Linked DNA regions of Arabidopsis thaliana. The protein of the gene in region 3 interacts with the protein of the main gene of each other region in a biochemical or structural test. Each region holds a gene or a part of one and is shown on either strand. Other genes may lie near its edges.

Region 1 (3,757 bases), on a different chromosome or scaffold from region 3:
ATTAAGGGAACCATTGAATGTCAAAGATGTTATTTTCTAGAACTATGTCTCATTTAAACTTTATAGTTGAGAATATAAAAGGAAGACAAAACTTTCCAAGACTCTGTTTAGAGAGTACTCTATTTTGTAGGTGAAGATTAGTATGCAAAAGAACAAAAGAAAAATTAGTAGAAGTATAGAACAAATGTGATAAGAAAGACATCAACTAATTTCAAAAAAAATCCTTAAATGATTTTACTAGAAAAGAGAGGGAAGAAAATTAACAGGATTGTTTTTGTTCAATATGAAAAAATGTAGAAGGTAAAAATGAGGGGGAAAAAAGATGAATAGAAAATATTCATCAAAACTCAAATGTAAAATGCATGTATCTTGGTGTGGTTCAATAACCATTTATCTAAGTTGATATAAACAAAAAGCATATTTGGATAGAGTTGAGAACTCTAACAAATAATCATGAGCTAACAATGTTTCTTCTGTTATGGAGTTTATAGTATGTGAATGTGATTGTTGAGAAATCTAACAAATAGTCATGAGCTTACAATGTTTCTTCTGTAGGAAGCATGAGATGTAATGTGTATTTGGGTTCAAAAGGTTCATCACTTAGAATTCAAGCTCACACGAGCATTCGATCACCAAGACAAATTACAGGAATTCACAAATCTGTCTTTCATTACACAGTGTTTTTGATACACATAAAGCTCATAAGGTACACATATTTCTATTTTTACATTCATTAGTTGAAAGGGATAACAATATCGCCAATGTTGTTGTGCCATGGATCCGCCAAGTGAGTTGCCAAGTTCTCCAATGGTCCTGTCCCCGGGTAAGCCGACTGTTGCACACAGAATCCTACAAACGCCAACAGCGCAAGCCGCCCTGTTACACCCACCAAGCAAAAAACACCAACATTAGATATACATTTGTACATAAGTTTGATCAAGAAAGGTAAGTTGTTGTGTGTGCTTACCGTTCTTGATCTCTTTAACTTTCAATTCCTCGAGCTTCTTGGGGTCCTTCGAGTATCCAAGAGGGTCAAATGCGCCTCCCGGGTACTTCTTCTTCTCAGGGTCTTTCTCCATACTTCTCTGGTGCTCAACAAATGCAATGGCTAAGAACTCAATGGCCAAGATTGTGGGCAAAGTACCCCACGGGACTGGGTTTCCCAAGTAAGTGGCTTGACCCCCTGGTAGTGCTGCCCATTCCTGAGCCTTAACCCAGTTTCCATATCCTAATGCTTCTGGTACCAAAATCCCAGGCTACAACACCACCCACCAAGTCCATTAGATTAAACTTAACAAGACTAAACCCTTATGATAAGACAAAGATTGGATATTGAAACTTACAACAGCGAGCATAGCCCATCTACAGTGGATGAGCTCTGACTCTTTGTATCTCTCAAGGTTCGCTGGAACTTCTCCAAGTCCAAGTGGGTCAAACCCAAAGTCACTGCACAATGTTGTACCCAATAACTTAGAAAAACTGAAACTTTCTAAACAACCTCCAATGTTGAAATCAGAACCCTTAAGTCATCAAAAGAGGTTCCAGTAATCTATCTAGAATCTCTGAATACACAACTAAAGGGAATTCAAATTCTGAAAGGAGACAACTTTCTGAAATATGAATACCCAATAACATAAAAAAAATTGAATCTTTCACAAAACGTACAATGTTGCATCATGTCATCAAAACAGAGTAATCTAACAAACAATTCTGATTCCAAACTGAGCAACAAAACAGAGTAAAAGGGTTCGAAGCGTACCCAGGAGCAGAACCGTCAAGGTAAGCTGGTCGTGGCTCGCCAGGCATCCAGTGAGCAGCCATTCTGATACGACCAACATTCCCGGCGTTTGGGAGTGGAACTCCGGCGGATACGAATTTAGACTTGGAAGAAGAGAGAAGCGAAGGGTACACGGCGGCTATGCCACAGCTCATAAGCGAGTTCGACGCCATCGTTTCTCTCTATCTGTCGTTGTGTTTGCCACCAAAGGAGAAAGATGTGGACGAGAGGTGTTTGGTGGAAGTGTGAATGTGGGAGACTGATCGTATAAGTAAGATTTGTGAGATGAGAATCTAAAACCAGATTGCAATTGGCTATACAGAGCCTGCGTGGCTTTTTCATTGGGCCACGTGTCTTCTCGATATCATGTTCTTCTGTTCGATATCCATCTGCACTATGTGGTTCAGATAAAAGCAGAATCTACGTATATTACTATTTTGCCATTTATCCACTGCAACGAGATGCTATCAGATAAGTCTTCCTGTTCGGTGAAACACATTTCTACTAATGTTTTAAAACTTGACCCGGACCGGTAAATCTGCGATTGGTCATGAATCCGGTCTGGATTTATTGCTAAGACTGGAGACTTATCAAACCGGTAAAACTTGGATCAACGAACACATGCGAGGCTAAATCATATGTCTTGAAAGGAGTATCTAACAAACGATACATTTTGAGACAACGTGTTTAGACATTGAAGTGAGACAGAATACCATTTGCAGACACACTGTACCGGTGAATGTTCAGAATCTTTGGAACTAAGTTTCTTTAAATTGTATCTCAATCAGGATATGAATGAGCATAACAACCCATGACTTCATGTCTCTTAGTCAGAAACAAACTTAGATTCTACTAGCACTACTTCACACATAAACCTTTCAACAAACAACACAAATTTGCAGGCCAACACATATGACAAAGGAAACTCAAATTCCAAGCAACTCCAACTGTTGTATACCTAAATCCATCATACAATATATGTCTCTTAATGTTACAACCACAAACTCTGAAACATCAAAATCACATTTTTTTTCCCAGGTGATAGATAGATAGATAAGATCAAATTCCATCATCACAAAAACCAAGTATTGAAATCAGGATCAAGAGCACATAGCTTTCTCCACCTCTTCCTGCAATTCTCCAGTCTTAAACGCCTCAAGAGTAATATCACAACCACCGAAAAACTCACCGCCGATATAAAGCTGAGGAAACGTCGGCCAATTCGAATACTCTTTAAGTCCTTGCCTCAACATCTCATTCTCCAGAATATTCACATCTTCGAAAGGAACATTCAGATTCTTCAAAATCTGAACCACAGTGTTGGAGAATCCACACATCGGGAAGTCTCTCGTTCCTTTCATAAACAGAACCACTTTCTCCGAATTCACCAGTTTCTCCAGCGTGTCTTTAAGTTGCGGCGTAAGAGCCGACGCTGAGCATCGGAATTTAGTTGGTTTCAGCTTGAGATTCGAACCGTAGAACGATAGCTGATGGTTATGGACGACGAGTGCCGACGTTGGTTTAAGAGAGAATCTGATAGAGTGAGGCTTGTTGGTAACGGAGGAGGAGACGACGGCGACCGAAGTTATCAAGGTCGGCGTTTTGACAGATCGGAGAGCCATTTTTGACGACTTTTAGATTTGGAATTGAGAAATTGAAAAGGTAAATGATTTATGAGCCACAGACACTCAGTGCGAGTGAGAATTGAATAAACCATGTTGCCAAACATCACCACTAAGCCGGTAGTGCATGTCATAATCATGGGTTTAAAAATAAAAATTAGAGGACATTCCGGTTCGGTTTGGTTCGACTCTTTAGATTCCGGTATTTTAGATATTAAGAAATTGGTTGGTTCCACTTGGATCGTATTAGTATTTCGGTTTAATAATTTTAGAGAAATTATCAGGGCATCAAATGCTTTTCAGTTTTTCAACACAGAGCTAGTTCTCTTTTCTTCATTCACAAGGTATGTATATATCT
Region 2 (3,757 bases), about 18 Mb from region 3:
CGTCTGTAAACGAACCGCTCAAAGCCTCAAACTAGTTGACAATTCATTTATTGAAAATGGTAGAATCTTATTTTTGGTGGTTGAAATAATCAATTCCAACCACTGTGAAAGAAGCAACGTTAGGTTTTGAATCAGAGATTGAGAAAAAAAAACTCATGTCGGTTTGCTTATGTTTTTGGCATTGGATTCTATTATTTGACAACAACAAAAAAGGAATATATAAACTTTTGGTTTTATTTTTACTTTTTACTTTTTCTTTTGATGATAAACTTTTAGTTTTCAGAAAACTGATTAATGTTTCGGAAAACATTATTGAGAGCAAACACTAACAAATACTTTTTCTTGTAGAAGGCCATTGTCATGAAAACAAGTTTTCTTTCTAAAGAAAAAAAATAATTTCGCTTTGGTCAAACATCAAACTTTTTTTAATTGTTTTTTTCTTCTCAAACATCTATTATCATTTGACAATCATTTAAGTTCATTTACTGAATGGTGTATGTATTGTTAAAAAAAATTTTTTTTACTCTTTTAGTATACGTGAAACCTATCATCTATATATGTTTATCAACAAGTTTTGATCTTCTCACTTTTTTTCAACAGATAAAAGTTTTGATCTTCTAAAGAAACATAGATCCCAAGTTAAAATTAAATAACAAGTCTTACAAGTTATGATTCATCAAATTATTATTTTTGATTTAGATAAGATACATGAGCATAATTTTCATGACAAGAAAACAGAAACATAACAAACAAAGATAGATGCACGGTTCTCCTGTCTTTAACCTCTCTCTAAGATGATAAGAACATACAGCAACATTAATTAATAATAGCCAGAACCAGATCTGTTTTATTCAAGCGATCCTCCTCACTTCCTCACCTACAAATCAACAAACATTTAATAAATTAAACAGTTATTGAATATAGTACATCCTAAATAATATATTAGTCTTTTTTTTTGTAAGATCCAAATCTTGATTATTTAAGTATAGGAAAAAAAAACCTTAATCTTATATCTACAACTAATTAACACGTAGTTTTTTTTCAAGATCCAAACCGTTTTGTTTTTTGGTAAACCAAGATCCAAACCTTATTAGTAAATATTTGTTCATGATTTATGTATATGATTAAGAAGTTATAAAAACCTTAATCGCTGTCGCTGTCACTGCTGCTGCTGTGGTGACCATCATCATGATGTTTCTTCTCCTTCTTGTCCTTCTTCTTTTTCTTCTCACCGTCGTGGCTTTTGCCTTCTCCGTCGTGGCTTTTACCTTCACCACCGTGGATCTTGTCTTTGATCTTGTCAACAATACCTTCTTTGTGCTCACCACTCTTGTGCTCGTCAACGTGTTTCTTGTGTTCCTCTTCCTTCTTGTGCTCACCTTCCTTGTTGCCTCCTCCAATGTGGAGTGCGTCTCCGATCTTGTTGATGAGTCCTGCCATATCTTTCTTTTTTCTCTTTCTTTTGTATTAAATCTCTCTTTTATGTGTTTGGTTGCTTTGACGATAAACTTGGATCTCAAAGGGTCTCTATTTATAGCCCAAAATGGATAATTAATACTAATCTATCACTATCAATGAGATATTATTATTGGTTTGTATTTTTCTTAGAGATTACTTTATAGTAGAAAGAAAGATATATGGCGTGGCGAAGATAAGATTAATTCTTCCAATGTGCTGTACTGGTTCTTTAACTGGAAATAATGATACAATTAATTGGGGTAGATTATATTCCTTTAAAAGAAAGAAATATTATATTCTCTTAGATATTTTCAACTACTATGTGGTTGCAATTTTTATTTCTTTTAGATATTTTTTTTAAATGATTCTGACTATGTCCATATTAGGACCATAGTATATAATTTGAAGGCATATAGTATAGATGGGATTAAAAGAACTAAAATTTGGATTTAAACAAACTAACTCAGACGTGTGATTATATATTTGTTTAAATAGTTTTGTTACTTTGCGACCCAATTCAAATGCATAATCCGATTAAAACAATAAGATGTCTCAAGAAACAATCTAGTAAAATTTATAACCAAAAATGAAATATCAACCAAATTAGACTCTTAGAAACACATTTTAATCTCAAAGAAGTGAAGGTTACATTCCAAGAAAATAACCACCCAGTTCTTTGAAATAGACTTCAAGTTTGAACTCTTTAGTTTCAACTACCCAGTTCGTATCGTCTTTATAATTTTAGTGAAAATTTCGTGAAAAAAAAAGAATTTTAACCAGTGGCAATTATATCGAATGAAATTGAAAATCTTCGATTTTGAAAGTTTATTTCAAAGAACAATATTGTTTGGCAAACATAGAAATATGAGAGAAATGGATGAAGACAATCTTCATAATGTGATAGGTGCTTGCTTGACAATTCATATACATCTTAGAAAATAGAACCCTTTTCGTTTTGTAAGAAAAAGTTGACCAAAATAATATCCAAAGTTCCAAACCATGTGGGTTAAACCGTTAAGGTAAGTTGTAAAAAAAAAAACCGTTAAGGTAAATGCGCGCGTATGATTTGTCGTGTAGTGAACTATGAATAAATGCTAAATATGGTCGGCCACTACATTATATTCTCATATTCCAGAATCCTTTGTTATATATTGCTGTGTCGGCAATAATATGAATGACTTTGAAAAGTATACACAATAATGCAATATATATGTAAGTAATTATTTTCATTAGGGAGGAGACCCGCGCGTTGCACGGGGTGGTTTGTTTTTGGTTTTGTTAGTATGTAATTATAACTTCGATTTTTTTTACTGATCTTTGATTAAAAGGGGAATATCTTTGTTATTTGCACCCCTCATTTTAGTTCGGCCCAAATCAAGAATAAACTAATCAACATCAATCCCAAAAAGCCCATAAAAGTTGGTCCATATCACCAGCTTAGTTTTTCTATAAATAGAGAGGCATCTCAAGGAAAAAAGGAGGAAGAAATCCATATTAAAACGTCTTCAAGCTCCTCAGCTCGTTCTCTAGCTCCTCTGCTCGTCCTCAAGCTTATCCGCTCGCTCTCAAGCTCCTCAGCTCGTCTTCAAGCTTCTCAGCTCGTTCTCAAGCTCCTCTGCTCGTCCTCTAGCTCCTCTGCTTGTCCTCAAGCACTTCAGCTCGCCCTCAAGCTCCTCTGCTGGTCCTCAAGCTCCTCAACTGGTCCTCAAGCTCCTCAGCTCGTCTTTAAGCTCTCCAGCTCGTCTTTAAGTTCAGCTCGTCTTCAAGCTCCACCACTCAACGACCATCTCCTCGCCTAGCTGTCAGCTAGTCAGCTCGTCCAATTCCTCACTTAGTCGTTAGCTCGTCCCTCAAGTGCATAAATCTATCTCCTCACCTAGCTGCCAGTTCGTCCATTGACTACACAATCCGCCTATCTCGTCTCCCAGCTCGTCTATACTTTCACCAGAACTCGATTTGTCCGGCTCGTCTCTCTACTACATTTCGTCTAGCTTGGCCCCTGGCTACCAGCTCGTCACTCAAATACTCAGTTCGTCTAACTCGTTGTCTATCAACCAGTTCGCCTCGTAACTAAGTTCGTCCAGCTCTTCGCCTACCTGCCAGCTCGTCACACATCTGCTAGCTCGTCGCCTAGCTGCCAGCTCGTCACCAACCTGCCACCTCCTCTCTAAACTGCCTATCTCAATATACGACCTACCTCCAACGATGACCTAGCTCACTTATTATAATATGAACTACGTATTCTGACCAATTTTATTTGTGGTACTGTCGTTGGCCAAAACCAAAACAGAGGCTCAAT
Region 3 (3,757 bases):
GGTATATTCCCCGTCAAAGAGTTGTTTGAGAGATCAAGAACAGCTAACATGTGCATCCCGGCTAATGCCTTAGGGATTTCTCCAACCAATTGGTTGCTCTTGAGATTTAGACTCACAAGTTTTTCAAAAGAAGCGATCCTTTCTGGGATTCCACCTGAGAAATGGTTGAAGGAAAGATCGAGGACAGACAAAGATGGACGATCTTGAATCTGGTTAGGAATTTTTCCGGCAAAGTTGTTATGTGAGGCAATGAAGGTTTGAAGATTAGGACTTGAGAAAATGGAGGAAGATAGGGATGAGAGATGATTAAATGATATGTCTATAAATGAGAGTGATGTGGATAAGGCTATATCATCTGGAATTTTACCGGTGAGGTTGTTTTTTGCGAGCTCTAGATGCTGAAGCATTGGTAAGTCACCTGAACCAGCTGGTATAGATCCGGAAATGTGATTTTTCTGGATTCGAACACGAACTAAAGTCGGACATGAGAAGATTTCCTCCGGAATCTGACCTGAGAATGAGTTGTTGAAGAGAATGAGCTTTGTGAGGTTTCTGGAATAGCACAATCCTGATGGTATATCTCCTGAAAGCTTGTTTGATGAGACGTCTAACCACTTCAATGGGGAATTTTTGCCGAGATGCACCGGTAATGAACCCATGAGAGAGTTCTGCCACAGCTCAAGAACCTCAAGGTTTGGTAATTCAGCAATTTTTGACGGAATGATTCCCGTGAGTTGATTCCTCATCAAATTTAGAAGCTGCAGATTCTTCAACTCACCTACTTCCATAGGTATTTCTCCTGTGATCTGGTTATCAGACAGATCAAGAAACACAAGAGAAGTCATACCACCAAGTTCTCGAGGAAGTTTCCCTGTGAGACGGTTCTGGTAGAGATAAACTGTTGTAAGTTGTTTCAGCTGCCCCAAAGAAGATGGAATCTGGCCTGTAAGGTTTCCAACAGCCAAATCAAGGTACTGAAGGCGCGTCAATTTCCCAAACTCTTCTGGAATCTCACCCATGAAGCCATTGTAACCAAGAATAATGGTCTCCAAGGAAGAGAGCTCACCAATCACCTTCGGTACCTTTCCACCAAAGTTGTTACCCGAAAGACCGAGAAACTTCAGATTCTTGAGATTCTTGAAAGAAGAAGGCACTGAGCCCTCGAAGTAACCTCCTCGAAAGTCCAAAACCTCAAGTGTAGTTGCGTTGCCAAGATCTTCAGGTAGAAACCCCGAAAAATTGTTGCTTGAGGCATTGACGTGTGTAAGACCAGTTGCCATTCCTAGACCATAAGGGAAGGTTCCAAAGAAGCTGTTCACACTCACATCAATGACCTTCAAAGACGTGAGATTAGAAAGAGATTTAGGAAGAGAAGACTCAAATGCGTTATTGCTGAGATCAAGGGCTTGCAGAGAAGGGAAGCTCTGAATCTGATCTGACACGTTTCCGCTGAGATTCATGTTGGAGAGAAGAAGCTTAGCCACATAGCCATTTGCATCACAGTGAACTCCTGTCCAATGACAATGAACCAACTCAGAAAATGTTGTGGCATTCTCAGGTCTCTTCCAATCTTGGAGATTATTTGAAGGATCAAAAAGGTCTGACTTGAAGGCCAACAAGATCTCTTGTTCGGAGTTTTGAAATGTTTCAGAAGAAACAAAAGGGAAAAGAGCGAAACCAATGTAATAGAAGAGGAAGAAAAGTCGAGGGATCGCCATTTTTCTCCTCTATTTCTTCACTTTTTGGCTAGTTTTATGGCATTTTTGTGCAACTGAGATTGAAGGTCCCCAAGCGAAGTTGATAATAAGAGAGTGGAAACCAAAAGCTGAAAAACAATGATTAGTCAGAATCTAATTTTATTTAATCTCTCTCAATTATTTTATCATGATTGTGTTTCTTTTTCGTTCGGTGGAATAATATGCGAGTTCCATTGGCGTCATAACAATTTGTATGATAGCAAGTAGTTCGCTTTGTTTCTGCATCTGTGACATTACATAGTAGAAAAAGTGATACAATTTCCTTGATGTTTTCATCTATCTTCGTGTGTTAAATTGTGAATTGTGTTTGAGAAAACGAAATTAGATTATAAGTTTGTTTCATATGCATACCCAAATGCTAAATTGTGAATAAAGTCGAACCGAAAATTTTGAGGAGCACTAATTCCATAACCATATCCTGAAGGATTATCTTGCTGATCTGTGCAATATCAAACAACTAAGCGGTGAGAAAGAAGATTAAAATAATGATAATGGGATATATAATATGAAGAAATCGTGGGTTTCTGAACAGCTAGCTAAATCATAAAACACTGAGTGACTTGTAAAGCTTTGTCCTCATTAGAGATTTGTGGGACAGTGAAACATGGGCAGAGAATGTGTCTCACTTACTGTCCAATATAACTATTTTCTATTCAAAGATGATGGCTAATTAGGCAAGATCAAAGTCTTTTAAGAAAACTACCATTTTAGTTCTACCTCACCAATGATTTGACACAAACAATGTTTTTTTACAAATGATTTAACTTCACTTAAATATGAGTAACTAAAGAACGCAAAGTTTTTATTGGTTATAAGGTTAGTTATATCATCCTTGGCGGTCGAGCTAGGTTGAGTTTCCGCATGTCTTCATTAGTCGGGAGAATGTTTTGTTTCGAATGGCGTCATTAAAAAAACACACATGAAAGATGATGGTCGTGAGAGAATCTTCCCACGTTGTTCCAACATAATTAAAATTAGGAAATAAGAAAGTTCATAACTCCATTGCCAAGTTGCAAGTAGCTAGGAACGTCCCATGACACCTACGTAGAGACTAGAGAGATATACATACATCAAATATATCTACTTACACATGCATTGAAAAAAAAAAATACAAATACATTAATTAAATTATTGCATTCATGTAGACATATATGTTTTTCTAGATCTTATAAACACAGATTTTAATGTTTTTCAAAATACGATTATCAGAATTTTTTTTTCTCTGTATATTAGTTTGAGTTGAGAGATTTAAGGCCATACATATGATATATGCATAAAGTTTGCATATTAATGCATTTTTAGACAAGGAGCTTCAATAAACTATGCATATGACATCAAGACGTAACTGAATATGTAGCCCTAAGTCCGTAACCGAATTTGTTTATATTCGTGTGGTTGCAACTTGTGAGTAAATATGCATGCTGATTGCGTGAAGAACAAAGTAGCATTAAGTGCTCTCACGATATCAAAATAAAGTTTAGAACCATCGAAAAGGGCCATCTATCATTTTTATTTTGTTCTTAAAATCTAAAACATATATATTCGATCGGATATACCCATTAAATGAATGAATCATGTTCACATTAGAAGAATCACCATAATTGATCCCAAAAACTATATGAAACATATTCTCGTGAGTGTATAGACTTTTTGGAGATCGATATCTTAATTAATACATCTAGCACAACTCTATATATTCTTGCGGATTAACATCTAAATTTTACGTACCTCGAGCATATATATCCATTATCGACTATCGAGTATCGACTATCGGTTCGTCCAACACATTTAATTGTTGTAGGTTTGCAAGGTAGATATGGACAGTACCTCTAATTAAAGTTCTTTGTCCTTTCAAATTTATCCTCTATTATCATATTCATAAGAAGGAAAAAATAATTGCTCAAATCTAACTTTATAATATGCCCTTTCATATTTCACATGCACCCATATGGGACTTTTTATCATAATCAACATTTTAAAATATAAAATACCGAATGGAA

Evidence for each region.
Region 1: of the proteins of AT1G08590 (region 3) and LHCA1, one has a biochemical effect on the other in vitro, tested with the Arabidopsis thaliana proteins (one study listed by BioGRID).
Region 2: of the proteins of AT1G08590 (region 3) and AT1G54410, one has a biochemical effect on the other in vitro, tested with the Arabidopsis thaliana proteins (one study listed by BioGRID).

Annotation. Positions count from the first base shown.
Region 1 is NC_003074.8:20,338,973-20,342,729, forward strand, and holds LHCA1 (chlorophyll a-b binding protein 6), read right to left. Parts: upstream 2,205-3,757; 5' UTR 1,951-2,204; coding exon 1,760-1,950; intron 1,447-1,759; coding exon 1,344-1,446; intron 1,257-1,343; coding exon 968-1,256; coding exon of another isoform or gene 909-967; exon of another isoform or gene 877-908; coding exon 734-876; 3' UTR 532-733; downstream 1-531. Other genes in the region: CXIP1 (CAX interacting protein 1), read right to left, coding at 2,878-3,399. UniProt on the Arabidopsis thaliana protein: The light-harvesting complex (LHC) functions as a light receptor, it captures and delivers excitation energy to photosystems with which it is closely associated.
Region 2 is NC_003070.9:20,309,162-20,312,918, forward strand, and holds AT1G54410 (dehydrin family protein), read right to left. Parts: upstream 1,690-3,757; 5' UTR 1,441-1,689; coding exon 1,144-1,440; 3' UTR 1,143-1,143; intron 878-1,142; 3' UTR 312-877; downstream 1-311. Other genes in the region: AT1G54420 (uncharacterized protein), read left to right, coding at 2,458-2,477, 2,915-3,257. UniProt on the Arabidopsis thaliana protein: Intrinsically disordered and metal-binding protein. Binds to the divalent cations cobalt, nickel, copper and zinc, but not to magnesium, calcium, manganese or cadmium.
Region 3 is NC_003070.9:2,716,820-2,720,576, reverse strand, and holds the start of AT1G08590 (Leucine-rich receptor-like protein kinase family protein), read right to left. Parts: upstream 2,040-3,757; 5' UTR 1,719-2,039; coding exon 1-1,718.